Diceros bicornis minor: one gene and its partners. The protein of the gene in region 2 purifies or fractionates together with the protein of the main gene of each other region. This does not show direct contact. Links are inferred from orthologs where the notes say so. Each region holds a gene or a part of one and is shown on either strand. Other genes may lie near its edges.

Region 1 (6,896 bases), on a different chromosome or scaffold from region 2:
AACTTGTGGTCTATAAACCATAAAACACCATCCAGGTCACTGATGTGAGGATCAGAGGGCTTGTGGCATTTGTGACAAACCCAATGATTCTTTCACTACAACAGAGCTCTTATAAATGAATGATTCTGGGCCACTATTCTCAAGGAAAGAAAACGTCAACTTCATTTTACCTGTCTTGCCAATGATTTCAACTCAGCTTCCCAGAATAACTGCTCTTGGCTCCAGTCATTAATTACCTCTGAAACACCTCCAGCAGCTGGGTATAGATGTCTGAGAGCTGTGAATGGTTAACACGTCTGGGGTTCTATGATGTATATTTGTTTTCAAGTGACTCCCTTGTCCCGTTAGATTTTTAAGGTTCAGAAAAATAGATTTCACAAGTACTACCTCCTCTGTAAATCTCATGGTGCCAGGTCCAATGACCGCTGTCCAATAAGCAGGATTCAGAAGGACACTGATGGGGACAGACAGCAGCAGAGCACACATGCACCATTCCTCAGGCTTCAAGCAAGACCAAAGCCACTAGCAGAAACATGGTCCAGCCTCGAGTCCACCTCATCCTGTCTTGTCCACCTTCTGGAAAATGGCATAGTACCATGCCCAAATCACATGCCCATACACAGCTAGTCTCCTAACCACAGCTAGTTCACTTTACAGAGACAGGACCGCGATAATAATCTAACAGCTTACAGTTATTGAGTGCTTACTATGTGTTAGGCACTGTTTAAGTGATTTGCATGCAATGTCTCACTTCATGCTCAAAACAAGCCTTATAAGGGAGATAAAATATTAATTTCATGTTACAGTTAAGGAAACCAAGGTCATACACCTGGTGAGCGCTGGAGCCAGGGCTTGAACTCTGAGAGTTTAATTCCAGAACCTGTGCTCTTAGCTAAGGAAAATTTATAGCAATGTAGCAATTACCAGAATTGTTTATTTACACAGAGGAGGGTAGGCAACAATCATCAATTGTCCTAAACCACACATAACCCACAAACAATTTTGCAATTTCAACTCCTACTCACAGGTTCAGTGTCCCAAGCACTGTGGGGAGTCCAGGAAAAAAGAAACAAATCTGAAACAGTTCCAGCTCCTAAGGAGCTCACAGCCCAAAGGTGGAAACCTGCTATTAAAATACAATGTGGTAAGGACCCATGCACCCCAAATGCGGCTGAAGTCTAGGGTGACAAAAGGGTGTGTTTGTGAAGGGGAGGGAGAGGAGAAGACCATTCTTCACCCAGCGCTGTTTCTTCAACAGACCAGGATGACACGGGATTGCTGCTTGTAAAGAAACTTTCCTTTATGGTTTTGTCCTGTTGCTCAAATACATAACACAATAAATTTTATTTCTCCCATTTTATTTACAAATTAAGTCGTAACCAAGTCACACTATCAACACTCTGAGAATTTCACACAAGATGTTTTCCCTAATTATCCTTAGAGACAGCAAAGTTTGGGAATGCTAAATGTTCATGGATTTGTGGTGTTATTTCTTTGAACTGTAGAATAAAAGTTTCCTCCCACAAATCAAAGCCCCAACGATATCACATTGATTTAATTTAACTCTAAAAACTCTAATTAGTGGTTACATAAAATGACTAATTACGTCTCCCTGAATTCAGACAGTTTCTGCCATCTCACTTAAATAGCCTAGGAGCTGTGTAATCAACCCACCCACTGGATGGAGAATGCTAATTAGCATTGTTGATTGGTGACACAAGTTATAATATTTTCCAGCAACCCTATAAAATTTATAAACATATCAGTGAAAATGCCAGATTCTTTACAGCTTACTAGCTTTTGGAATAAGTGTCCAAAACACATGCATTTTCCAACCACAGCCCCGCCAAAAGGGTTTAACAAAATGCACGTGCCAGCCACACAATCATCATAATAATGCGCTCTAACATCTCTTAACGAGCAGCTAAACGAGCTCACAACACCTTCGCGGCGTGGGCATTATACCTGGTTTGAAGATGTGAAAACTGAGCAACAGATTTCTCGGCTCCAAGTCTCACTAGCTCATCTCCGGGCGGCCAGGCCGCGGCTCCGCCCCGCTCCTGCCTCCAGCACCGACACGTTTAAATTTTTATAAAGCTTCACACTTCTCCGGGCGCGCTGCTTGGGGCAGTTCAAAGACTGCAGGAGAAAATGAGGTCCTGCCCGTGGCGAAGGCTGCCCCGGCGCGGTGAGATTTCTCCAAGTGGCACACTCCGCGCAGACTTGCCGGTCGCCTCTGCTCCACCCCGGCGTTTTTGAAAGTAAACTCCTACCTGCCTGTTGCGCTCTCCGATGCGCAACCGGACTCGCCCCCCCCAGGCCTCCGGGGCCGGCTCAATTTTGTCAGCGGGGTGTGAACACAGGCCAGCTCTGTGCCGGCTTCTGGCCCAGGGCCGGGCGGCCCCCGGGCGCTGGCGGTTACGGGGTCGAGCTGCGCGGCGGGGTGGGAACCACGGTGCGCGCCCGGCTCCTGGGGAGCGCAGGGCTGCCGGCCCCCGCTCGCACGGCCGCTCCAGCCGCCCGGTGCTCCAGGAACGCTCGGCCACTCCCTGCCGGCCGGAACGCGCACCCCGAGGGCGCACCCCAAAGTGCAGCCGGGAAGAAGGGGGAGTCCGAGGCGTGGGGGGAATGCCGGGACCCAGGAAGCGGTGTGCGGCGGGGAGCGGAGCGAGGGGCAGGAGGGGCGCACCTCGCGGGGATGGCAGAGGAGTGGGATCCCGGGAGCAGAACACGGGGTGCGGTCAGTAAGAGGGGAGGCGGCTCCGGGCCAGAGGCGGGAGGAGGCGGTGACCCCGCGTCTGGGGTGGGGGTGCGGGAGGAGGGCTCAGGAGCTCGCAGGGTCCGGGGTGGGGGCGTCTCCCTGCGGAAGGTCTGCGCGCTGCTCGTCGCGTCCGGCCTCCCGCGGGACTCACCTCCGCGCCGGCCGTGCAGGCTCCGCGGCCCGCGGTCTCGGCTCACGGCGGCCCCGGCTCTGCGGCCTGCGCTGGGCTCCGGTACAGGCAGAGCCCCGCCGCCGCCGCCACCGCCGCACTGCTGCTTTCCGCTTCCTGTCCCGGCGCCGCCCCGCAGCCCGAGCCCAGCCCTGCGAGCCCGGCGCGGCCGCGAGCCAAGAGCAGCGAGCGCTGCCGGCCCCGCCGAGGGCCCGGCCCACCTGCAGCGGAGGGCGGGGCCGGCCGGCCTCTCCCCACCCCGCAGCCACGCCACACCCGGGCACGCTCACGCGCGCACACAAACGCGCGTGCGTGCACACTCCTACACACACAGACCCCAGGGACTGACCACACCCACACCCACACACACACACACACTCACTCACATTCACTCACTCACTCACCCTCACATCATAAACACATGGCCAGGGAGTGACACCCACCCAACAGCCCAACGTACTTGCCCCCTCAAACTTACAGCCATACACACATACTCACAATCATGCACAAAATCCAAGCCCGTTTGCCCTCACGGGAGCCCCAACAAACATATTCACACGGCCCGGAGGCTAACCGCCCCACACACACTCGTATACACACATTCCAAGAACTGACCCACAAATATCCATATACAACCACCTCAACCCATATACACACTCCCACTTAAACTCACATGCAGCCCAGGAAATGACCAGGCAAATAACCATACACACCCGGGCCCCCATAGCCAACCCTCTCCCTCCTCCTCTCCTAACAGAGCAGTCGCTGCCCCCCAACCCCAGTCTCATAGAAACTACTGGAAGAGCACATCTCTGAAGGCAGGCAGCCCAGGTTCCAATCCTGATTCAACCAGGTCTGCTTCCATCTCTGAGTCTGTTTCCCTGTCTGAAAAGTGGGAGAGGATGATAATGCCAACCTTGCAGGATTGTGGTGAGGATTATGGAAAGTAGCTTGTGCCCAGTAGGCACTGAACAGCTGTCAACTATGTATATGAATATTTGCATTCTTCTTACTTCAATATCTTGTGTGGATAGGGTTAGGGATCCACGTGGAGAGTGTGGAATCTGGCTGGGACCTGAAGCTGCTTACATGACCCAGTTCTCGAGCCGAGATGGTGTATAATGAAGTACTGTGTACTGTGGGCAGTTGGGGTGGGGAAACACACCCACCCTGAACTAGCCTAGTTCAGGGAGCTTGAGTCCCCAAAGCCCTCACTCCCAGCCCCACCTCTTCCCCACCCCCTCCAGTCCCATTCTCTCTCCCATATATTGCACTTCTTCAGAGGACATATGTTCAATGCAGTCAATCTTGACCCCTCCCCAGCCCGCCACCAGGCTTCACTGCTCACTCTGGCAGCCCAGGACATCTGCCTCTCTCCCTCACAAACCTCTCCCCTGTCTCCAGAGGGCTAGGGCTGACCCAGGCAGCCATCTTCTTAAGGGTAAAGCCGGTTGTCTATCCACCTGAATCAGTGCTCAGATACAGGAATGTAGAGCTTTATAAAAATGTGTCTCTTTCATCTTTAAAATGTAAACCCTTCAAAGTTACAATGGGCCAGGGATTTCCAATTCTAGCTCTGCTGCTCCTGAATAGCCGCCGTGTGATATACAGATCCTCCGTGCATGTTCGTGGAAAGTGATTCTAATTCACTATAGTTTAAGTAAGCTACCTTGCCATGTGGTGCTTTTGTGGCAAAGAGGGGTAGTGCACAATAAACTCTATTTTAAGATAATAAATTCACCTTTAAATGCCATCTACTGCTGGTTTTGATCCAACAATCTCAAGTATTCAAGTTTAAAAGGTAAGAGGTGGACAACTTCTCAGGACCTGAGTGATGGTCTGTATGGCCTGGAGGCCTGCCCTGGCTCCCACTGTCTGTCACAAAGTGAGTCAGCATTGCTCCAGGTTTCAGCAGGCTTATACAGCTCTTGCCTCAAGTCCAGTTCTCCAGCTTAACCTTACTCAGTAATAAAGGTGATAAGTGGGCTCCATCTGCCACTCCTCTGTCTCACGTAACCATTTGTTCCAAACTCAGCTAGGGAAGTAGGATACTATGTATTGGGTGCTCTTAGGACTCCAGCATGACTGTATGTTCCACAAATTCATGAATATATTTCTCCCTTTCTGCCCATTCTCACAGCTTTCCCAAACCTTAGAATGCTACCCACTAAAATTCTTCCTGTCTACCAAGATCCAACTCAAATGCCATCTCTTACACAAAGCCTTCCCCGGTTCTCCCAACCAGAAAATATTCTCTTCACCTATTTGAATTCCCATGGCTCTCTGGATTTTTATACTTACCTTCTTACCTCGTATTGGTTATTTGCTTCTCACTCTTCAATAATGTATAAATACCATGTCTTATTCATCTTTTTTCTATTGCAGATCTTTCCACCTAGTAGTTACTTTAAAAAATACTTAGCAAATGAATGAATGACTATAAAATATCACTTGCCCTTGGGAAGTTAATAAGCTCACCAGGGAACAATCTAGTTGAAAAGTTATGACATAGGCACATAAAGATAGTTGGCAACAAAAGAGAATATGTAAAATGCTAAATGCATTAAAGGCAGACTTTTTAAGAAGTCACTTATCCAGCCTCAAGAATTCTGAATACACCTGAAAAACAGTTAAGTGAGAAAGGCCTCTGATCAACAAAATAGATTGTACAAAATCCATGCTTTAAATTGGATAGACTTTATAAATAGCAGAATCTCTCGTATACTCGGCAACTATTTACACATAGTTTACAAACATTTCTAAGAAGTTTCATCATCTGAGTCCTAAGCCCACTATAGATTAGAAACATATTAAAAGAGAAGGAGGTGATGTCAGGAAACCCCAGGGACTGCAAAGGGGTCATTGTGAAGATTGTTTAATCACAAAACTCATGCTCTTTCTTGTTACCAGTTACTCCCCCTGGCACACTGCCTCATTACAGAATAATAGTGTTCATAGTGATGACCTTGAGTTATGAAGGTTAGATGGATATTCTATATACAGTACTTTAGGAAGACATGAAAATAATATTAGAAAAATTTCCATCCAAAATGTTTGAAATGTTAGCGCTGATTCTTTAAAGGGCCATTTTCTGTAAAATCTATGTGTAGGATCTGTTTATATGTTGATAACACCAGGGATGAGGTGCTAGGCTGTAGATTATTAGTGCCCAAGGAGAGTGACACGGGCCTGGCTGGTCAGGGTCACCTTGTCCTCACGTTGAGGAAAGAAAGGAGTGGGATAGGCATAGGTGGAGGACAGTGGCTGGAACAGTGGCTGGCTTATCTCAAGTGCTTAATAAATATGAGTGGAATAGGGGGTAAACGGTGTTTCTGTTTGGAGTATGGGCAGGGGTGTGGAGAGAGCGGTGTCCGGGATATAGTCAAGGGCAGTGAGCAGAGCAGTTAGGCTCGAGACAAGGACTCATGCTGAAACGTAGAGGATTCAAAACTGAGTGGCTAGGATTAGAAGATGGAGAACTTTGAACCCAACACTAGTGTTTGAACTTTCTTAAACAGGCTGGCAACATGGTATTCATTCATCTTTTCATTCATTCAAAAACTTAGACTTAGTACCTACTGCGAGCCAGGCAATGTAACTACTAAGGATACAAAGCTAGATAAAGTAACATTGATCAGTGAGTCAACAATTTATTCAACAAATATTTATTGAGCAGTTGCTATGTGCCAGTTACTAGTCTAGGCTCTGAAGATACATGAAAACAGACAAAAGCTTCTGCCCTCATTGAGTTTAAATTCTAGTGGGGAGACATGGAGCAACATGTGTAGTGTGTCAGATGGTGACAGGTACTAAGGAGAAAACAAAGCAAGATAGGGGATGGGGGACTGTGGTGTGTCCCTCTCTCTGGGGAGGCTCCGGCTGCTTGAACAAAGCCTTGCTATCGAATATGAGAATGCTGTGACTGAGACCAGAGGCGGGACGGGACGCTGTGGGGGCACAGGGAAA
Region 2 (6,890 bases):
CTAGTGATGCATATTGGGTTTGTGGCACATCTTCCTCTCCAATGAAATGACCCTCTTTGGCTTTTTGCGCTTGTTGTTTAGTGATTTCTGGGCCAGGTACTGTTAAAAGAGAGAGCGGACAATTTTTTTAGCTTGTCAGCAGTAGGAGGGCTGCTTTTAGGGTCCTGGCTTTCTCTCTGCAAACATCATCAGGACTATCAGCTCTGTATCTTTTTTTTTTTTTTTTTTGTGAGGAAGATCAGCCCTGAGCTAACATCCGTGCTAATCCTCCTCTTTTTGCTGAGGAAGACCGGCGCTGAGCTAACATCTATTGCCAATCCTCCTCCCTTTTTCCCCTTTTTCTCCCCAAGGCCCCAGTAGATAGTTGTATGCCATAGTTGCACATCCTTCTAGTTGCTGTATGTGGAACACTGCCTCAGCATGGCCGGAGAAGCGGTGCATTGGTGTGCGCCCAGGATCTGAACCCGGGCTGCCGGTAGCAGAGTGCGCGCACTTAATTGCTAAGCCACGGCGCCGGCCCTGTATCTTTTCATCACAGCAAAGTCCTGAGGAGTCCATGGACCATGTGGTTCTATTATGTTGTGATTCTGCCTCCAAAATGATTGCCCAGGGACAGTAATCTAGGTGGGTCCTCTCTGGACTGGCCCCATTATCTGAGACTTGGTACAGTCCTATTCCCAACTGGGCCTCTGTTTGCTCTAGATTTGGCTGGGTTCAACTATATAGACTAAGAAGATTACGTGTCCATCCAAAAGCCCCATTTGCATAAGATTTGTGAGCTTATGATATAAGATCAACTGCCATTGCTGATAATAACATCATGTCACTCCAGGGGCCACAGCTTAAAAGGGTGGACTTTACCATTTTGGCCCCCAAAATAAAACAGTAACAGAGGACCAGAACATTTAAAGGTAATCTGTAGCCTATAAACAAATCAAAGGGTAGAGAAAACAAGGCAAAAAAGACACAAAAGGAAATGATGTGTGTTTTCTCTTATGATCAATATATGGTAAGCTACTACACAGAGAGAGGAGGTATTATAAAACCTAACATCCTGGCTTTGAGGTCAGACCAACTTATATCCAAATAGTGACCCTGCCTCTTAGCAGCTGTGAACAGCTCGTAGAATGTTTCCTCTTCTGTAAAACTGAGCTAGAAACACCCACTCTGTAGACTGACCATAAGGATTAAGGACAGAATATGTGTAAAATATTGATCACACTTGAGCTTCATAATAGCAATTATTTTTGTTATTATTATATTATTTTATTTTAAAATAATAAACATTGCAAACACAATATTGTGACATTAATAGATAAACTTAAAAAGAAAAACCAAGACCACTACCCCCCAAATCAGACTATTTACATTTTCCCATATTTCCTTTTAGTCTTGGTAAATGTGTGGACATAATCTTTACGTAGTATATTTGTGTTTTCAGCTTTTTTTCACTTAACATTGCACTGTAAGTTTTCCCCTGTTGCAATATGGTCTAACTTAGTGTAAAACAGTTACTTCAACAAATATACCATAACCTAATTAATCATTTCTCTATTTGCTGACATGTTTCCAGTTTGGGGAATATTCTTTAATTTTGTTCCTGTTTCTGTTATGCTGATTTGAAATGCACAATTTTTAAAAGATTTAGGTTTTCTTCCCTTAAATGTATGGATATGTTTTAGCTCAATTTGAAAACACTGTTTATAAAAGCTAATGAGTGTTCACCGTGGGGAAAGAAAAGGTGGTTTCAGCCTAGTTTCTGGTGGAAAGCAAATTGAGACAACTGCAAGAATTCACACATCCATTAACCTTCGTTTCCTCATCTCAGCCCTTGGCATACTGGTATGGGGATGACAGATAATGGAGGTAGGCACTCAAGAAATGGATCTTCAAAGTGGACTAAACATGTTCATGTTCTTGATGTCATTCAATCCCCACATGCGCCCCAGATCGAAGCGGTAGGTATTCGTATTATTTGAGGCACAGAGAGGGTAAGGTGCTTGTCCCAGATCACACAGCAGCTGGGAGACAACAGAGAACGCCTCTCCCGGACTCTGAATTTCCAGCTTTCCCACCGAGCTTTGGAAAAAATGCCCCCAAGTCCCGCTAAGAGGCGGCGGGTACAGCGATGGGTCGAGGGCCGAGCCGGCCTCTGCGAGGGGCGTCGCCGGCCTCTCCAGGAGGCTCCTCCTCCCGGGCGCTCGGGCCCCGCCCGGCTCCGAGCATGCCCAGTGCGCTCCCCGCCCGTCCCAGTGGTGCAGGGCGGGCGCCGCGCCTCCAGGTTTTGCCCGGGACCAGAGGTCGGGGCGGGGCGGGACGCGGGGCGGGTCCTGTTCCTGGGACTCCCTGGCTCCGTCGGAATTCACCCGACGCGACGCTAGTGCGACGCCCGCAGCGGTGGCGCTACCCAGCAACATGCGACTCGGGGACAATGACCAAAGTGAAGTGCTAGGTGCTGCCGGTGGCCGCCGGATGGCCCTTGGGCCGACCGGACCCCTGGACCTTGGGCACCTGGGGCCGGACAGGATGGTTCCAGCCATTACTCCACTCCTTCATTCACATATTCATTCCCAAACACTTTTTGAGCACCTAGTGTGTGCCAGGCTGTTGTAGGGGCTGGGACACCGCAGTAAAGACAGGCAGGGCTCCAGCCGCGGAGCTGAAATTCCGGAGGTGAATACACAATAAGGAAGCAAATCAGGAAAAGTCACTTACCCACCTCATCTCCTGCTGCTCTGCCCTCCTTGCTATTGCCTAAGCAGTCCTGCGCCTTAGGGTCTTGACACTGGCTGTTCCCTCTGCCAGGAATGCTCTTCCCAGTTTTTCTGCGTGGCTAAAATGTCACTTTCTCAATGTCACCTCTCAAGGGCCCAATGTGACCACCTTATTGAAAATGGCACTCCCTCTACCCTCAAGTCTCCTTACCCTGCTCTTTTTCCTTCGTAGAATTTACCACCTTCTGATATACTATATAGTAGTTTGCTTATTTGCATGTTTATTGTCTGTTGCCTGCCTCTCTTCCCGCAAACTCCACCAGGGGACGAGATTTTTGTCTATTTGTTCACCACGCGCGAATAACCAGAGTAGGTGATCAATAATTATTTGTTGAATAAATTAATGGATGGTGATAAATGTGAGGAAAATAAAGTGAGGACATGGAGAGTGTCCCGGAGCAGGGGGCTAACTTAGTAAGGGGGTCAGGGAAAGCCTCTCCTAGAAGGGGGACATATGTACAATGAGAAGGTGCCAGCCACGTGAAAAGCTGCACAAAGACGTCCCACACAGAGGAGGGGAGAGGCATGTGCAAGTGCCCTGAGGCTATCCAAGTTCTGAGTGTTTGATGGACAGAAAGGTGCTCCTGGGGCTGCAGGAAGAGAGGTGTGAGATGAGGTGGAAGAGGAAAGCAGCAGCACAGATCAGGTAGGGGGCCTATAAATCTTGGGAAGAGGGTTTAAGCCAGGAAGGTTACTAGTGGAATGGGATGAGCACTGGACTGGGAGTCAGCAGGACCCCTGCTAAACCACAAAGCCGCTGGGCGAGACGACTCCTCATTTCAAAGATTTGCTGAACGCCGACTGCTTGACATTCCTAGGTATGGAATCACCGTGGGCCGGGCACACAGTAGGTGCCCAATAAGTGGTTATGGAGCCAATGCCTGCGTGCATGCGCAAGGGGAGCCGGCGCTGCACGGAGCTCGGCATGGGAGCCCGGGTGGCCCGGGGAGGCGCGTCCGGGCGCGCCAGCTCGGGGCGGGGGCGGGAGCGCCCCGCAGGGCGGCCCGGGCGCCCGCCCCCCGCCCGGCGCGCGGGCCCGTCGCGGCCAGCCCGGCCGGCGGGAGCCGCCCGCGGGCGGCACTGGGCATGCTCAGACGGCGGCCAGGTCGGGCCGCGAGCGAGCTTCCGCGCCGCCCGCACGCGCGACCTACCTGGGCGCCCCGCGCCCCCGGATGCTGCAGGTACGGGCCGCCGCGACCCCCCGGGCCGGGGGCAGGGCGCGGGGCGGCGGGGCCGGGGGCGCGCTCGGCGCCGCCCCGCCCCCACCGGCCCCGGGCGCGCGGCGAAGGCGCGGGCGGGCTGGCGGCCGCGGCCGCCCCGGGGCGGGCGCCACGTCGGGGCGGGGAGGGGGCGCCCCCGCCGCGCTCACCTGGCGGGGCCGGGGCGGGAGGGAGCAGGCCGGGCCGGGTGGGGCTCTGTCCCGGGCGGGCGGCCGGGACGCGGTGGCGGCGGCGGGGCGTGGGCGTGCGCTCCAACCGGGGCAGGGGCGGGCGCGACCGAGCCCGGGCGGCCGGCGACCCCGGGGGGCCCAGCGTCGCCGCGATTGCGGCCCCGGGCGCCGAGGGGGCGCACAGCCCGCGGGGAGCCAGCCAAGCGCGGCGGCCAGCCCTTCTCGGCTCCCCGGGCGAATCCGCCTCTCGGCTTTCAAAGATGGCATTTCCTGGGCCTGGCACGAACTCCAGCGCCAATAAATCCTCCCCGTTCCGCGGGCGATCCGAATGATTTATCAGGTACCTGTGCTGAGACAGCTGCAGTGGGGGGCGGGGTGTATGTGAGAGCGCCCAGCCCCCCGGAAATTCGCATTTCCAGCAACCTAAACTTACTGAGAAGTTGCGGTTGCCTTAAAAATTCATGGGAAGTTGAGACAACTTGACACCTGGGTTTTCCGAGGTGGTGGAAAGAGCTTGTGACTTGGAAACTGGAGACCTCTGTTCGAGTTGGACTCCCCCGTGGCCAGCTGGTGACCTTGGGCGAGTTGTTTAACCTCTCTGATCCTCAATTTCCTCCCCTGCAAACAGCCGGTAATGATGCCCACCTCACTGGGTTGTCGGGTGGATTAAGTGGGATAAATTATGTGGAGGTGTTTGGCACCTTGCCCGGCACAAAGCGAGCGAGCAGTTGGCGGCGTGATGTGAATTTAATTCGTTTAGAGACCCTCGTGGCTCCCATTTCACCAGGAAATTAGAATTATGAAAGCATCTTCAGGGCCTAGTGGCAGAGTGACAGACCCTGTCTTTGTGCCCAGGAGAACTTCTGCTGAAGTCAAGGCTTTGGAAAAACAATTTAGCCGAATTGTAACCTGAGAGCATCTTCTTTAAAAGCAGTTTTATACATTCAGAAACTCCAGAAGTTGGCACTTCAGCTTTACTTGCAAAAGAGCTGTTTTGCAAAATGATCCATCTTGCAAATGTTTAAGCAGATGATGCTTGAAAGTAAAGCCTGGTGAGGAAGATTTCTGTTCTAAAAACCTCCCAAACCCAACTTGCAGTGATTGTTTAGATCAAGGTTTCTTAGCCTCTGGATTGTTACCGTTTGGAGTTTGGTAATTCTTTGTTGTGGGGCCTGTCCTATGCATTGTGGGATGTTTAGCAGCATCCCTGGTCTCTTCCCAGTAAATTCCAGTAGCAAACCCTCTCCCTAGTTGTGCCAACCAGCAATGCCTCCAGACACAGCCAAATGGCCCCGGGAAGGAGGGGCAAAATAGCCTGTCTTCCTCTTGAGAACCACCGATTTAGAACCACTGTGCTTTCTATCATTAGCCTGAGTTGTTTGGGAATTTCATCTTATGTTTTTTACTATAATAACTAACCTTTGTATAGCCTTATAGAACTGCACAGAGAGCATCCACATGGGTCAGCTCATTTAGTTTTTACAACTCCCTCGTGGGGCTGGTGTTATTCACATTTTACAAATGAGGAAATTGAGGCTTTGAGCTGTCGATTACACAGTGTGTGGTGTAGCTGGGATGTAACTCACGTCTTCTGGTTCCACGGGTGGGTCTTTTTCTTCTACATCAAGCTGCTCTTTATTGTATGGAGACTCGCAAATAGATGACTTTCCTGATGATTAAATTATGATGTAAAGTAGACTGAAAGCTAGAACCTTTCTGAGATTGACTAGTTGAAAATTAACCGTAAGCTATGATCTGACAGAGAGTAGGTCGTTGTAGTTAAATATTCTAGTTGATAATGAGCTCCCATAAATCCCACCTACAGTTAATGGAATACCAATTTGCAGAGAATTAGAGTAGAATAAAATGTGCCTAATACTCTGTATTGATCCTGAGTTGTCTCTCCTGATTTGCAGTCTCCTAAAACGGACTCCTGTATGCAAATTAGACATTAGCTGGGGAATGTCAAAGGTCACGTTACTGAAGGCATTTTGGAGTGGCTGAGGAATTCTTGTCAGCAAGCATTTATTGGGCTGCTTCTATATGGTAGATGCAGTGCTGGGTGGGGATGCAGAGTAGGCCAGGGGACCCCAGTGAACCTAGGTGCCTGGGGGGACTTCTCTGCAGGGAGAAGGCAGGTTCTGGCCAGGACAGACACATGGCTGGCCCTTGGGGACAGCTTGGGGCAGGAGAGAGAACCCAAGGTAACACTGAGGCAAATTCAGGATCCCGCACTGCTTCCTCGCTCCTGTCTCTGAGCCCTCCTTTCTGCATTTTATCATAGAAAAGGTATTCTGAGAGCTTTTTAACATTCTCATTCAAGTGTCAGGATCCTTGTCAGAGACAAATCATATCCCCGAAAGAAGTTGGGGTCCCAGGCTGGTAATTGGTCTCTGGGGATTGAGACCAGCTCCTTGATGGTTGACTGTGAACTGGGAGGTTTCACGTACATTATTTCATTTCAGTGTCGCGTTCCCTGCCCCTGCAGACAAGCACACTGAGCTAGCAAAGGGAGTGTGGGGCCAGGAGCAAGAGGGACGAATTGTGACCTTTTGCACCTCGGGTCCAGGCACCCGAGGGATTCCGTTTTCTAGGAGGGACATAAGTCACCAGAGGGACTTGGCTTTGGGGACTGGAGGGAGCAGGAGGACATGAAACCCTCTCTACCCCCTCCCCCAGGGTTTGTGGCAGGTTGGGAGGGGACCAGCAATTTGTGGTCCCTCCTT
Region 3 (7,932 bases), on a different chromosome or scaffold from region 2:
TTCCCTCTTCCTCTGCAAAGCTTCTGCTAGCCAAGTTCACGCCTCCTTTAACCAGAATGACCTCTTGGAAACCAGATGAGCAGATAAAAGTCTGTCCTGCTCTAGGGCCAGGGAAGAGGGCCCTTCCTCAGATCTCAAAGGATTGGGGGGAGAGGGGTCACACCAGAGAGGGCTGCCCCCGAAGAATTAGAGGAAAGAGAAGGCAGGAGCAAGACAATGGGGGAGGAGTGGCCAATGTGGCCACTAGTTCCAGTCCGAAGTACTTTCAGAGATGGCACTTCCTATTGTCTGACCACAGCTCCTCCTCCTTGGAAGAGCACCCCCACCAGCATGTCATTCATGTAGTGAGAGTACAAAGAGCAAGCAAGGTACCCCAGAAGCCAGAGCACAACATCCCAGAGACAAGTGCCTCGTTCACCCTAGCAACCCAACCCATCAGACAGATGTCAGAGAATCATGCTTTTTTTTTTTTAAGTCTAGTCTTTAATTACTCTGCCCCTATCCCTAGTCCCAACATTTTGTAACTCCCACTACTCTTATCCCGAGGGCCTTAGGAAAGGTGGGGAGCCCTGAGGACTAAAGACGGAACATTCCCATTGCACATGCCCATTAGGGACTCTAACATTCCAATTCCAATTACTCAGAGACCCTAATGGGCATGTGCAATCAAAGCCTCAGCTCTAAGAACTGGGTGTCTCCATCTAACTTCTGGCAGCAGGAGGAAAATGGCTGAGAGAGTGAAATGGGCGAACAACGTGTGCATCCTAAAGAAGATGGCTGGTCCCTTTTCTTCACCCCAAAAGAGAAAGGACAAGAGAGAGGAGAGGGAAAGGAGGTGGGTGCTGCTTCTCTGGGGAGAGATAGATCCACTTCCACACTATCATGATGATGAGTACAGCTACGATGGGTGCCTGCCCCTTCCCCAACACACAGACATTTGCCCTCTTGCAAGCTCATCCCCTAATCCTCACCCTCAGATCTGGCCCCAGACCACAGCTTTATCCCAAACATGCTTCTTACCCGGTAAAAGGGAAACTCTGTGATAAATCACACAGATACACTTCCAGAAACTCCTGGAGAAACACCCTCCACTGCCCTCCCCAGAACTCCCATGTGACCTTCTCAGCCCCATGGGCAAGGAACCCAAGTTGTTCCTCACCAGATCTCATCCCTCCAGGCATGCTCCTTCCTCTTGCCTCCATCCCATACCAAAATCCCAAGACCCTCCGGGAACTGTAGGATCCTGGTGGCAGAGCAGAGTTAGCAGGCTCTGAAGCAGCAAACTCCAAGACAGCTTTCCAAGAGAATTGTGGCCTGAGGGGGCTGAAGTTGGGCTAGGAAGCCAAGAATGTAGCCTCTTCACCCACCAGAACCCAACCTATGATGGTGAAGGAGGAAGTCCCTCTTATTCTTCTCCCTGAGTCCTCCAATCTCCCAGATTCCTCTAGGACTACAACAAGAACCCCTTCCCTATTCCCCACAATACACCCTTTTCTAGAAAAACCCACCTCCCAAAATAGGCACCTCATAAGATGGCCCACTCGCTCCCACCCGTAGGTCTCAGATACTTAAGGCACTACCCTCAAACCCAGGCAGGGCCATCCCAGAAGCCTCGGAATCCTCCAGACAACACTCCCTTTGGGATCTCTGCCAGGAAAATCTGCCTGCAGAGGCAAAAGGTAGTTCCCCCAACACTCTCAAAAACACACACACCACTTGAGGCAGGCACACAGACTGGTACTTATATCTATCAACACAGGTTACACACAAGAGAACACAGATTCATTCACAAAGGTGCACACACACCTATCCAGGTATGTCCCATTCTGCTCTTACACACCCACCTTCCTCAGTACCTATACACCTCTTTCCCATAAACCCTCCCCAGTACACACACATAGATGCACATCCTTTCCTCAGAATGTACACATAAATACATATCCAAACACATGCAGACACATAGTCAGCCGCTTCCTGGTTGCACGTACACTCAGGCACCGAAAAACAACTATACCTTCAAACCCAGGGGCCCACCTGCAGGAGCATGCAGCACGTCAAGGCATACACACTCAAAAACAAAGAATCATGCACACTGATCCTCCACCAATCCTTTAAAACTCACTAATGCAGAGCCCACAGCCCCCTAAATAGGTAAATATGAGTGGGGAGAGGGATGCCGGCCTCCTGCCCCCTGGGCCCGGATACAAAGTGGGTCTTCTGCCACCAGCTCCATCCTAGAGCTGCACACACACCTCTTCTACTCTCCTTGGCCAGCTCCCCAGACTCCACATCATACCCTGAACGCACACCTGCCCCCATGCCTCCCCACACTCCCAAGGTGTGTATGCACCCCTAAACACCCTCGTCTTCCAAAACCTCCAGACTCTGATCCTACCACTGCCTCTCCCCCCACCTCCAACACACTCCCAGTCTCCGGATTCAACCGGCTCCCCCGGGATCATTAAGGCCCCTGCCCGGCCCGGGGCCCAGGAAAGTCCCCGGCTCTCCAGGCCCGGGCTCCGCCCCCTCCCCACGCGCCCCTTCCCCTCCCCAAAGTTGGGGGGGCACTCTGCTGTGCAGTGGGCGAACACCGGAAAGGGGTGGCCCAGAGCCCCTTCCCCCATAAACCACCCCCCTCGCTCGGGGGCTGGGCACCCCCTGGCCCCTTGCATGATTGTCCTCCTCTTCGGCTTCTTTTTTTCTTTCTTTTTTTTTGCAAACTTTGCCCGCGCCCCCTCGGCCCGGCACTCACCCGCCGCTGCGAACTGCCGGGTGGGCTCGGCGGGCGCCCCGCTCGGCCCGGCGCCTTTGTATCCGCAGCGCTCCGGGTCGCTCCGAACTCCGCGCTCCCGGACGGGCAGCGCGGACGATGGGGGGATGTTAAGGGGGGCTCCTGAGTCTGGTCACCCCTGTCCGTCCCAGACCGCTGCCTCTTCCCCCTCAAGGCCCCGGGGGCAGGGGGCCGGGGGGAATGGGGGGCGCTCAGGCTCCCATGGCGGGACCAAGGATCAAGGAATCAGGGATCAGGAATCAGATCAGGAGCCGGCGGCGGAGGGGGGAGGGGGCTCAGGGGGAGGGGACGAGAGCGGAGGGGGTGCAGGGGGCGGGGGAGCGCGCGCTCCCGGGTGCCGCCTCCCGGCTGTTCCCGCACTCGCCGCCCCTCCCGCCGCCGCGTCCATTGTCTGCGGCCCGGCTGTTCCCGGAGTCGCCGCTCCCCTAGCCTTTCAATTCCAGATGCCCGGCGGCCCTCCGCGATCCTGGGAATCAGCGGCGGTGCTGCGACCCCGGAGCCGAGTGGTGGCCAAGGGATGCCTCGATTCCTGGCCTTGGCCCAGCCTGCAGCCCCTCCGGGGACTGTTTTCCTCGACCCCCTGTCGGAGACCGTGGCCCCAGACCCCCGGGGACGGCCGTGTTCAATTCTTCTGGGCCACATACCCATCTACACGAAATCCAATGGAATCTGGGACGTGGAAAAATTGATTTTTCCCCCCTAGGGCTGCGAGAAGGGAGAGTCGTCCCTGATTTTAATTAGTGGCGAGAGACACTCCCCTCTTCCCGTGCATACGGGGATTTCCCTGACGCCAACACCACCACATCCCCCTGCTTCCAAAAATAATTTAATTACTCGGTTCTAGCTGCGAGCGGCGACCGCCCAGTCAGTCTGAGACGCTCCCTCATTAACACTTTTTCCTCCCCTCTGGTTTGAGCGTTTAGATTAATTACAAAGGGAACCCTGCCCTAGGGGAGCGGGGGAGGGGGGAGACGCCGAAGGCGCCAAGGAGTTTGGATGAAGGAACAGAGGGGCCCTTCTCCCAGGAAACCTCCCGGAGTTAAAATGCGTTGGTCTGTCGGGTCTCTAACCCCAAGTAGGCAGGGCTCTCGGCCCCAGAGGTTTCAGATACCTTGGAGTTGAGGGTACTACACGGGGATTATAGGGTATCACAAAATATTCGCCATAATGGGGGCATTTCTGCGTTAAAGTACTCCAAGAAACCAGTTGAGGTTGATGAAGTGGGGCAATAGACTGAACCCACCAAGAGTGACCCCCACCATAGAAGTCTGGGCTGTGGGAAGTCCATGTTCCCCTTGGAGTGAGTGAAAGCAAGAGTATTATTATATTATCATTAGTATTATTGCTGTGCAACCTGGCACTTACCTAGAATAGTAATAAGTACTTCAAAAGCACCTTCACACACTTTTCCCCAGGCAGGGTAGGGCCCTCTCAACATCTCAACATCCTCCAGCTTCCAATCCTGATCACTTCTCACCCAACCCTGTGATTAGGTCCCAAGGAAGGAGACTTCCAGCCTCTGTTCCTCACTCGTTTGGGGATTTTTGCTCCTCCCTGATGAAATTTTTTTCTGAGACCTAATCTCATCCCTTTTGGTCATCCATTCTAACCTCCCCAAAGATGAGGACAGAGCCATCTTCATCTGCATTGTGACCATTCAAAGATGGAGAACCTTTAGAAACACTTTCCTTCTCCTTATCCCAAATCCTTTCCTCTCCTCGCTCCGGGTTCCCACACTGTGGGTCAGCAAGTGACTCAGCACCAAGACTGCATGAAATGTGCAGAATCATCATTTCAGGTACCCAAGTCCCTGCATGCATGCACGGACTCAATTGCTTGGTGCCTGTCATGTGCTAGGCTGCACTGGGGGTCCCACAGTGACCATGACAACCAGGTGTATGAGGGATGAGTGGCAAGAGAGCTGGGGAGCGGTAAAGAGAGGTAGGGCTAGCTTAGGGTGTTCCCAGCCCTGCCCAGAGCACACCCCCAGACTGGGCAGCAAGTGTGTCATTTGACAGAGTGTCGGGGCTGCCCTAGCTGCCAGGGCCCTGGCTGACTATCCAGCAGGTTCAGTGTGAACTGTGTTCTCGTGATGCTACCCTGTTTCACAGGCCTCAAAAGGGTCCAAAGAATAAGAAACACAGCTTCTGATGCCAGAATTGCAAATCATTCTGTAGACTGGCCCACACCTAAAGCTCAAAACTTGAGTCAGGAAGTCAACAAACGAAGATATCAGACATCAAATTGGAATAAGCTCCGTCCCTCCTTTCTCTTCTCTGAAGAGGAAATTGGGGGCTTTCAATTCTATTTCTGTAACAAAAGCACTGGATTACAGAGGAGAGGTCCACCATTAAAATCTGATTTAATGTGTCCCATGCAGCAATTCCCCGGACTGCCCTCCACCCTCATCACTAGGATGGAAACCCATCTGGATTTCACACATCCTTAGTTCACAGGGTGAGGAAATGGAGACCCAAAGAGGAGGCCCACGTACCCTAGGGCCCAGGGGACCTAGCCTAACTCTTTAGGAGGGAGCTGGGCACTGAGATGACATTCAACCAAGATTTTCCCAAAGGGTCCAACTGCAGTGATAGAGGGAGGTCAGGAGCCTGAAGGACAACAGAGTGGAACAGATTGAACTTTGAATGCACAGCTCCTAGCTTTGAGGACATGGGCAAGCTTCTTAATTTCTTTAAGCCTCAATACCTATATATAAAATGGAACTAATAAGGTGACGGAAGGGACCCCCTCTGCATACCCATAGTGCCCCAGTCCATTCCCAATCAAAGGTCCCCTCTCTGTTAAGTGCCTAGGGGATTCCTAGTACTTTGGGGAATCCTGCTCAAGGAAGGGGGCTCCTAGACAAAAGCTAGAACCCTCAGTAAAAGCTCTTTCAACTCCACAGCTCATGCGCCTGAGGCAGCAGGGATGTAACAGGCAGACCACAGGCCTCTCAGGAGCCCTGGGAGGTTGCGTCTCTTGGGAAAGATGCAAAGGGCTCAAAAAGCGGCAGTGGACCCTCTCCAAGGGAAGGTCCCAGCTACAGAGAAATGCCTGCTTTCCTTGCAGATGAAGCTGTTCCCAGAGGTCAGGCCCAGACCATGGTGGCAAAGGTTAGGTCTTCTACTCTGACGAAAAGTAGGGCCCTTTTACAGCACTGCTGCTGAGAGAGGGGAATCCTTAGTATCTCGCTCAAACATAAAAAGCTTCACACCCTGGAAGCTTTTTGATGGCAGGATGGCCATCAAAGTTTTTAAATGTGAGTGGTTAGCAATTTCAGCCACCTCCCAGGTACAGCTGACCACAGTGGTGTACCCACATCCCAGGCTAGAATCACCATCTTCTTGCAGCCCTGCTGATAAAACTAGGAACAGTTCAATCTTCCAGGATAATTAGAGCTCTTTCCCCAGCACCCGCTTTCCTAGAACGGCTACTCTCAGTGTTTAGAAAAGTATTTCCAGATCCAGTCTACACTGTGAAACAACTGGATTTTTTTTTCACTTTTAATGAGAAACAAAACAAATAACAAAAAAAAACTTTAACTGCTTAAGAACTCTGGGATGACTCAGGGTTATTGTGAGGTGTATCTCTCTCTCCGGTAAGCTCTAGCTCTCTTTGAGAACAAACAGTGAGCCTCATTTATTTCTATGTTAATGGCACATAAACGTCACTGAGTTGGTATTAGTTTCCTTCCCTTCTAATTTCCTCACCTGTCCCAAACCTCTACCACTCCCTATTCACCCAACCTTTATCAAGTGTGAGCTTCCTCAAATCCCATCCCGTCACCGCCAATCTAAAAAGTTACCTACAATTAAACCTCTACCTTGAGTGAGGTTTTCCACCATGACTGCAGATTTTAATCATCTGGGAAGCTCTGAAAACACACCAATGCCCAGGACCCATCCCAGACTAATTAAACCAGAAACTTCCAACGTGTGGCCCAGATGTTGGCTTTTTTTTTCAAGTTGCCTCAGTGATTCTAATTTGAAAACCACTGAATCAAACTCTTTCTGAATCCCTTCCTCCTTTCTTGGCAGAATAAATGCCTCCCACCTCCCTTGCCTAGGACTAATCCCTCCAGGTGTGCGTTAGGTCCTGTCCTTTCCCACCTCCATTTCTCATCTTCATCTAGCAGAGGTAACAAAATAAAATACCTCCCTCCAGTTTCCTTTTGCTTCAGCCCTTTCTTTCCTTTCTTTATCATGCAACCTTCTTAAAAGAGTAGATTCCTCACCACCGTCCTTTACTCCTCAGCTCCTCGCAACCCAGCCATCCTTTTACTATCTTTCCTCCTCCTGACTTCAAATATTGATATTTCCTGGAATTCAGCCTTTGGACCTTTTCCTCCTCACCCTGCATGCTCTCCCAAAGTAATATCATTCTCTCCCATGGCTTCAGTCACTGCTTACTTATGAATCCTCCTAAATCCAGATCTCTCTGCTGAGCATCAGACTCATATTTCCAGCTTCCTACTGGACCTTTTAACCTGATTATTCTTTGGGTATTCCTAATGTAATAGGTTTAAAGGGAACACATTATCTTCCCTCCACCCCCATCCCCTTGGCTTATTTAGACCTTTTTCGCTTCCAAATTTGTATCATTCCCTCCCAATCTATCTTCCTCCCTGTTGCCAATGTGATTGTTCTGAAAGAGAAGTCAGACTGTAACTCCCTTGCCTAAAACAATCCAGTGGCTCCCTGCTGTCTACAAGATGAAGTCAAAAATTCTTGGCACTCTATGTAAGGACCTTCAGTCCCTGACTCTCTCCCTGCGGCCTTATCTCCTGTTACTCCCTGTGCACTCAAAGCCCAAACATTCAACACACATACATTCAAACTATACCCATCTACTCATTGTTCTCCCAATTTGAGGCTCTATTACTGCTTCTGCCTTCACATGGTGTTTCCTTTGCCTGAAATGCCATCCCCGTCCGTCTCTGCCTAGAAAGTTCTGCTAATCCTTCCAGACTCAGCTGTGGTTTTCTCTTTGACTCCTCCCCAACCTTCCGGAACAATGTTAGATGGCTCCTCCCTGAGAGAGCCTCCTTTGTGCTCCCAGAGCTCTGCATTTTATGACATTGTACGGTAATTTCTTATTTACATATCTGTCTGCCCAGCTGGTCTGTGAGCTTCTGAAGTCGA
Region 4 (7,618 bases), on a different chromosome or scaffold from region 2:
AATTGGAAGCAATCTAATCAAAATTATTTATTCTGCAATGTTACTATTGATAATGCTAATAATCCTTGCATTTCCCATTTATTACTTCAAATTCCTTTATCAAGTCTGTAAAGCTAGTACTATTATTGTCATTTTACATTTTAGGAAACTAAGCAATAAAAAATAATTTGCCCTAGGTTGCTAAGCTAGTTAGAGGTAACAGCTGGGAACTGGAACCCCTATCTGTCTGACTCCAAAGTTCTTTGTCCACGAGTCCCCCACTGGCTGGTCCCAGACATCTCTCATGTGGCCTCAAATCATACTTATTCTAAAAGAATTAATCACAAATTGAGTCATCTTGGGTTTCTTTCACTTCATTAGTTTGTTTTTGAAATAATGCATATTAACAACTCTAAATGAAGCCTCATCTTGTCTACTTTCTGAATCATCCCAAAGTGTTAAATAAATCATAAAAATTGGTCATTTCTATAACTCCTTTGAGTATGTCCATTTTCATCTCTCTCTCCTCTTGGAAGAAAAAAAAAAAGATCTTACCTATGGCATACGCTTCTCTGCTTACAATAAACTCTCCTTTTGAGTTTTATTCTATCACTTCAGAGCCCACTTCACTTCTGCACCACAGATGGTTCTCCCAGTGGCAATTCTTCAACTTTAAAGACAATCACATCAGGATTTTTTCTTTTACAATGTACTTAAGTGACTGTGTTAATCTGTTTTTTGCACAAGATATAGATGACTTCTAGATCCCTCCTAGCTCTAAAATGCTGCAACAGGCTATGATTCAAAGTAACTCAAGAAAATAGCCTTAGAACACTCTGAGTTGGATGTTCTGTTTTCTATACGCCATATCATTACTTATAAACTATTTTATCCTAGCAATTCTAAAGTTTGTGCGGTTTTACTTTCTCATTCCTATGTAACAACTTTCACCTGTCTTCTAAATTGTTTAATCTAATAATGTATTTATCTTATTTTGTATTCTTTGCTAATACCACTTAGAAAAATTGAGAACCTGATCAAATCAAATTTCGTAAGTAATAAAACGTTCCAGCTCCAAAATAGCTGCCTTTTATATAAGGTAAAATTTGAAACTGAATCTACGGTCATTAACAAGAGTTCACTCATAATTAAGCCACTGGCTTTCAATATACAATAAATAACTACTGTTTAATTTTTATCATAATACTCTATGTCCTTTAGAATGCCTAATAAGAAATATACAACTGATAGCAATTAGAAACCAGTGTAGGGATTTTAAATGACTACAGTGTTAGTCTTTCGTATTAACACATTGAAGGCCTACTCTTGCAGGGTATTTCGTTTTTGCATCCGCAAGTTACCAAACCTGCAATATTTTCATGTGATCTCAGAAAAATATCCATTTCTTCCCTAAGATTGGTATCTATACAGCGGCGATAACAATGTAATTTCTTAAACTATTAAACAGTTTTGCTTTGGGAGATGAGGGGAAAAAAAGAGCAGGGAAGGAAGGAAGAATTACTGTTTCTTATGTTGAATTCTTTAGGACACTTAGAAAACTATTACATGTTTAGAATTAAAACACTATACATTTTTATCAAAATGGTTCACATTGTTGCCATTTTGCATTTTCAAAAATATCGGTTAAAAGTCTTAGATGTTGAAAACCTTTCATATTCTCGAGCACAGCAAAATATACTATATTCCAGAGCATTTCATCGTGTTATCTCCCACCAAGCCTAACAGTCAACTACCCCGTCCTTCAAACAGAGCTGCACACTCCCATTTCTGAGAAGTGACTCAGAAGCCATAGCAAATCCACAGAAATATGATTTTTTTCCCTAACAAGCTTAATAAAAGTCATAGAAACGCGTGGAAGGCCAGAGGAGCTTTCAGTCTGTTTACTACGAGTGCGCCACACGCTGCCAGCATCCAAAGCTTCCCAGAGCCAACTGTTCCAAGTGCAGTTCCTGGACACATCGCCCTGAAAGTTGATCCGATCCCTCAGAGCCGTGCACCAACAAACTCCGAAAATAAAACATGATGTCCTTCCTGCAAATCTACTGCACTCCCTCCACCGAAATTCTTCGAGATGACACACAGCCCTTGATGAGGCGTGGAAAAGAAAAGAACCCTGGACTGTTTCTCGTCCAAGCAAGCAGACACCTGGTTGACCGAAGAGAGAGGGAGGCAGGTTCGTGGGAAAGAGCCAAACCACGAAAGGCCAGGCTGCTACGAAATAAATTGCTCAAACACACTCCGAGGTTGAGTAAGGGAGGCTATATAATGTTCCTCCTCGCCGGGCACCTTAGAAAGCGGCAGGGACAAAGGTGGGCATCCTAGGATGGCGGCGACCCGGCCACAGGGGCCCGGCTCTCGGGGATTCCAGGAGGCCTCCCGCCTCCCCCTGCCCGGAGCCAAGGCTTCAGCGACCCGAGAGCCGCCCCACGTTCTTCCCGCCTGGCGCGCCCCGCGCTCCCCACCCGGCTCGCCCCCCACGCTCCCGGACGCCGGGTCCCCGCCGCCTCACCTGGTGCCCCCCACGTTCAGCTGCACGATCTCGCCGCTGCCGGCCGCCGCCGCGCCGAAGCCGCCGCAGTGCCCTCCCGCCATCTCCGGCGGCTCCGGCCGCGCGCGCCGCCCTCCCTCCCCGGCCGGGGCCGCCGAGCCCGCGGCGGCGGGAGCCCGAGGCGGCGGCGGCGGCGGCTGCAGGGCCAGGGGGGCGGCGGCGGCGGCCGGGGCGCGGGCAGCGCGCGGAGCCTCCTCCACCTTCCCGGCGGCCAGGCGGGGCGCTGGCGCGTCCGCCTCTCCGACGGCGCGCGTGGGCGGCCCGGGCTCCCCCTCTGGCGGCCTTCGGGCCGCCGGGCCGGCCGCGGCTTCTCCTCAGCGCTCGGCTGCCACGGACGCGGCCGCCGCACGCCGCAGCCCGCCCGGAGGAGGGGTCGCCGCTCGGGACAAAATACCGCAGCGCTCTCGCCTTCGCCCGCCGCGCCGCCGAGAGGGAGGGGGAGGAGGAAGGAAAGGCGGGGAGGAGCTTCCCGGCCGCGAGGAGCTGGCGCGGAGGGCGGGGGGAATGTGCTCCTGGCCCGGCGCCCGCCCGGACGGGATTTCTGCTCTCGCCTCATCCCACGCAGGCCCAGCCCCCTGCCTTTTACGTTTAAGAATTTCTAGCTCGAGGAGTCAGATTTCCCAGATTGAGGGCAAGTCTGGGCAAACTGTCCTCAGCATCTTTATTGTCTCTCTTCTCCACGTGGATTTGGGAGATGCAAGGAGAGTTTCCTGGAGGTAGTAGAAGTTGATGCCGAACTGTAAATAGTGCAACGGCAGGGGAAATTGGGGGATTTTAAAACTTTATAGCGCTTACAAACCCCTTACCTCCCCGTCTCCAATCTCATCCCTACTCCCAAGCAGTTTTTTTTTTTTTTTTTTTTTTTTTTTTGGTTAAGCATGGTAGGAAACAAAAAGGGAAAAACAAAAAACTCCTAAGCTGTGTAGGGCAACAGGTTTCTGGAGTATAGTAATCACTCAACTAATGTTAGACACACACAAATACACGCAATTTTTAAAATTTTGATTATCTTTGCTTTAAACAGTATATATTGGAACCCAAAACAGTAGTAGCTACTAAAATATGTTTTTTTACGTTGTATATAATACCTGATGCCAGCTAACAAAAGCTAACAAAGACAGTGCGTTATGTTTCCAAGTTCATCCGTCTGTAGTACTAAATTCTTAGCACGGATTGTGTTTTGTTATAGTTTTACCATAAGAATTCAAATTGAAGACCTACATGATGCTATATTTTTATTTTCACTGTCATAATTTTTTTAAAAATCTCTGCTGGCAAATATACCAGTGTTGCGATGACTTTATCCAAATTTGGCTTAAAAGAGGATAGCAGTATTTATAGATATAAGATAAATATTATTTACCCCAGTTGATAATAATAAGAGCTAATTTGTATTTACTAGGGATTCATCATATGCTAGATGGTTTAGAAATTTTCTGTCATTTTTTTCTTCACAACTATTATTACACTATTTTAAAAATAGAAAACTGAGATTTTAAATGATCAGAAAACTTGCTCAACAATTCATGGCTGGCAGGGGCCGGCCCGGTGGTGTAGTGGTTAAGTTTGCACACTCTGCTTCAGAGGCCCAAGATTCACGCCCAAGATTCCGATACCGATCCCGGGCATGGACGTGTCGGGGGAGAGGGAGAATCTCCCTCTGCCCTTTTCCTTAAGGTTCTTCTGGCTGGCCAAATAATTAACAAGACAGGTTAGCAGGAGAAAATAATACCAAGTTTGATAACATGTACACATGGGAGAAAGCAGGGACACTGCATTTCTCAACACAATAGCAGAAATTCTCGTCTTAAATACCATGTTCAGCCAATGACAAAGGAGGATGTTGGGGGTGGGGGGAGTCAGTTACAGGAGATTACCACTAAAGCACAGTAAACGAGAGTAAGGTTATTATGCAGCTTTAAGGCCTCAACTTCCACATTGATAAGTTTCTAGAAATGAGGCCATCCCCCTCTCTTCTCAAAACAGAGAGGGAGATACCTTTACAAATGGAGATTTCCCTTATAAATGTAAATGATTGTCTGGCAACTCCTCGCAGGGTCATCCAGAGAATGTGGCCAGAGAGACAGAACTTCTGATAAGAGGGGCTTGTTGGTGCCTTTCCTATTGTAACATTTACCCTACGTTATCTTTACAGCCATCATGATAGATCTGTTCCAGGAAGGAGCCACCATGTCAAATTCTTTAGGCAGTTAGTGGGGGAGGTCAAATGTCCCTAGAGAAAACAACCAAGGTAAAGAGATAGATTTCAGGGTGGCCAAATCTTGATCTCCCACAGACCTACACACTGCTCATCAAGCCATGCTGTGGCGGCATCCCATATACAAAACAGAGGAAGACTGGCACAGATGTTAGCTCAAGGACAATCTGTTACCTTAGGGCCAATCTTCCTCACCAAAAAAAAATTCATAGCTGGCAAGTGGCATAACAGGAATTTGAAGGCAGTTTGATTTCAGGGCCACTCTGCACTTTCTTATCTTCACTTTATACAGAGAAGATGAGTAACAGTTCAGATTCAGGTAGCAGCAAACTAAGAATCCCTCACACTTGACACCGTGTTAGCTGTCTTTGCTCTAACCTATAATATCTGCTTCTATCAGGATCTGAAACTTTGCTTTCAAATTTGCGGGATAGAATTAGGTGGTGAAAAGGCCATTTAATTTTCAGTAGGCCCACATCTTGGAAGAATGTAAAAAAACACTTGCTGACAGATTTTTGCCTTTAATGAATTTGAGAGTCAACTTGAAGTTAGACTAAGGCCTGTGATATTGTTGTTACGGAGCAATGGGCTCACTCTGCTGGCTGCAATCTGAGCTGATTAATCACAACGAGTTAGGGATCGAGAAACGAAGTTTTAATTCGATTAGCCAGCATACAGCATAACTGGGAAGATGGCAGATTAATGTCTCAAAAACCCATCTTCAAAAATTACAGAATCTTGAGGCAGTTATACAGGGAAAATGGGCAGGAAGGAGGCGGTCCGGGGATGTTGGTTTCCAAGTGTGAGGGGCTGCAGGCATAACATTGTTCCATTCTTCTGTCAGCTGTGATGGATAACTTGTAGCTGTGTTTCCCACTTGTGGTCAGCCTGTTGCTGGAGAGAAACTCATAGAACAAAGCTTTAATCTATCAAGCTATTGGGGAGTACATATGTAAGTGGAGGCCATAAATGAGGAGAGCATGTGATTTATTTTTAGAGTACATGTAGAGCAGCAAGTAGTTACACAGAGGAGGAGCTGGGGCCATTTAGCGTAACAAGATGGCCTCACTTATGTTCACTGATGTTGTGACCTATAATAAGAAATATATGTTTGCTCTTCATCCTTGATTCTGGCACAGAACTCCTAAAACCTTTGGAGTTTCCCAGGAGATGAGAGCAATAACAGTTTCTTTTGTTATGTTAATGAGGTGACTTTTGGAGAGCATTTTAGGTAACCTGAGGATGGGGGATGGTTGCCAGGGGAACCAACCATGTGATTAGCTGGTTGGAACTTTCAGTCCCACCATCTTGAACCTCCACCTGTGGAGAGGGGAGAGGAGCTGGAGGTTGAATTAATCACCAACGGCCAGTGACTTAATCAATCATGCCTATGTAATGAAGCCTCCATAAAAACCCAAAGAACAGGGTTTAGAGAGCTTCCAGGTTGGTGAGCCAGAACACTCTCATGTGTCAGGCTCCAAACTCCACGAGGTCAAAAGCTCCTTTGTGCCAGACCTTGCCCTGTGTGCTTCATCTGGCTGTTGATTTGTATCCTTTAATATTCTTCGCAATAAACTTGTAATCTAGTGAGTAAACTAGTTTTTCAGTTCTGTGAGCTGCTCTAGCAAGTTAATGGAATCTAAGGAAGGAGTCATGGCAACCTCTGATTTATAGCCAGTCGGGTCGGAAGCACAGGTGACAACTTGGGCTTGCAATTGGCATCTGAAGTGGAGGGCAGTCGTGTAGAACTGAGCCCTTAACCTGTGGAATCTCATACTTTCTCCACGTAGATGTCAGAATTGAGATGAATTGTACAACACCAACCTAGTGTCCAAGAATTGCTTAGTAGTGTGAGAACAACCCCACACACATTGAAATTGACCTTATAAACTAAAAAAAAAAATTGTGAGAAGGCTTCTTGTCTTTCCTGAAATAAATAAATGAAACAATATTCATCTCATTGCACAATAATATTAATTATTAGCAAGACATCTCATCAGGAGAAGGAAGAGGGCTCACTATTTTATAAAACAAATGGTCATGACTTCTTGATGTGTCCAAATCAATGTGAGATGTATCTGAAGGGATTTCTTACTCATTAAACTTAAAATTAGTACATGATTTATTTTTTAAGAATAAATTGGAACACTTAACAAACTCAAAGACAAACAGCAGAATGAGAAAAAATATTTGCAATATCTATCAGAGAAATGATTAAAATTCCACAGCATGCGATTGTACGTATATCATTTAAAAAATCAACTGAGAAAACAAAAAATGAAAAATATAGAAAGTATATCAATAGGCAAGTAGTGGAATAATAACTACTAAAAACACCAAAATATTTATTCAAACAACAGAAAAAGATGTAATTTTCACTCATGAGGTTGGCAAAAATTAAGAGTTTTGGTAAAATCCAGTGTTGAAATGGCCGCTCGCATGCACTGTTCATTGGAGTTTGAATGGGTACAGGGTTTTTGGAGGACAACTCAAGAGTATCAACATTTTAAATGTACATCCTCTTAACCCAACACTTCTCTTCTAGGAATACGTCTTATAGACATATTACACATGTGCATATCAAGAAGTGCATATTCATTGTGCAGTGTTATAATAGCAAAATCTTAGAATCAATCAGAATGTTCAGCCATAGAGGAATGATTTAAAAGATGGTGTTGCATATTATGACTATTATGGGGCAAATCTATATGAACTTGTTACCAGCACATCGGGTCCTTGTCGTTCCCCAGGATGGAAATCAAGAGAGACAACAAACGGGAGTAGGAAAGTAAAAGTTTATTAGCTTGTGCACAGGAAAGGCACAAGGGAGCCAATGGGGAAAGGAAAGGGGC

What was found.
Region 1: the proteins of PTPN3 (region 2) and VANGL1 purify together in Homo sapiens (affinity purification with mass spectrometry; 4 studies listed by BioGRID and IntAct, with this or other methods). This does not show direct contact. The link is inferred for Diceros bicornis minor from reciprocal best matches to the Homo sapiens genes PTPN3 and VANGL1.
Region 3: the proteins of PTPN3 (region 2) and VANGL2 purify together in Homo sapiens (affinity purification with mass spectrometry; 3 studies listed by BioGRID and IntAct, with this or other methods). This does not show direct contact. The link is inferred for Diceros bicornis minor from reciprocal best matches to the Homo sapiens genes PTPN3 and VANGL2.
Region 4: the proteins of PTPN3 (region 2) and KCTD3 purify together in Homo sapiens (affinity purification with mass spectrometry; 4 studies listed by BioGRID and IntAct, with this or other methods). This does not show direct contact. The link is inferred for Diceros bicornis minor from reciprocal best matches to the Homo sapiens genes PTPN3 and KCTD3.

Annotation. Positions count from the first base shown.
Region 1 is NC_080743.1:48,187,505-48,194,400, reverse strand, and holds the start of VANGL1 (vang-like protein 1), read right to left. Parts: upstream 3,013-6,896; 5' UTR 2,913-3,012; intron 2,451-2,912; exon of another isoform or gene 1,966-2,450; intron 1-1,965.
Region 2 is NC_080767.1:18,392,806-18,399,695, reverse strand, and holds the start of PTPN3 (tyrosine-protein phosphatase non-receptor type 3), read left to right. Parts: upstream 1-3,885; 5' UTR 3,886-3,955; intron 3,956-4,350; exon of another isoform or gene 4,351-4,504; intron 4,505-4,532; exon of another isoform or gene 4,533-4,795; intron 4,796-6,890.
Region 3 is NC_080743.1:65,045,666-65,053,597, reverse strand, and holds the start of VANGL2 (vang-like protein 2), read right to left. Parts: upstream 3,022-7,932; 5' UTR 2,753-3,021; intron 1-2,752. UniProt on the Homo sapiens protein: Involved in the control of early morphogenesis and patterning of both axial midline structures and the development of neural plate. Plays a role in the regulation of planar cell polarity, particularly in the orientation of stereociliary bundles in the cochlea.
Region 4 is NC_080777.1:17,191,883-17,199,500, forward strand, and holds the start of KCTD3 (BTB/POZ domain-containing protein KCTD3), read right to left. Parts: upstream 3,005-7,618; 5' UTR 2,593-3,004; coding exon 2,510-2,592; intron 640-2,509; exon of another isoform or gene 535-639; intron 1-534. UniProt on the Homo sapiens protein: Accessory subunit of potassium/sodium hyperpolarization-activated cyclic nucleotide-gated channel 3 (HCN3) up-regulating its cell-surface expression and current density without affecting its voltage dependence and kinetics.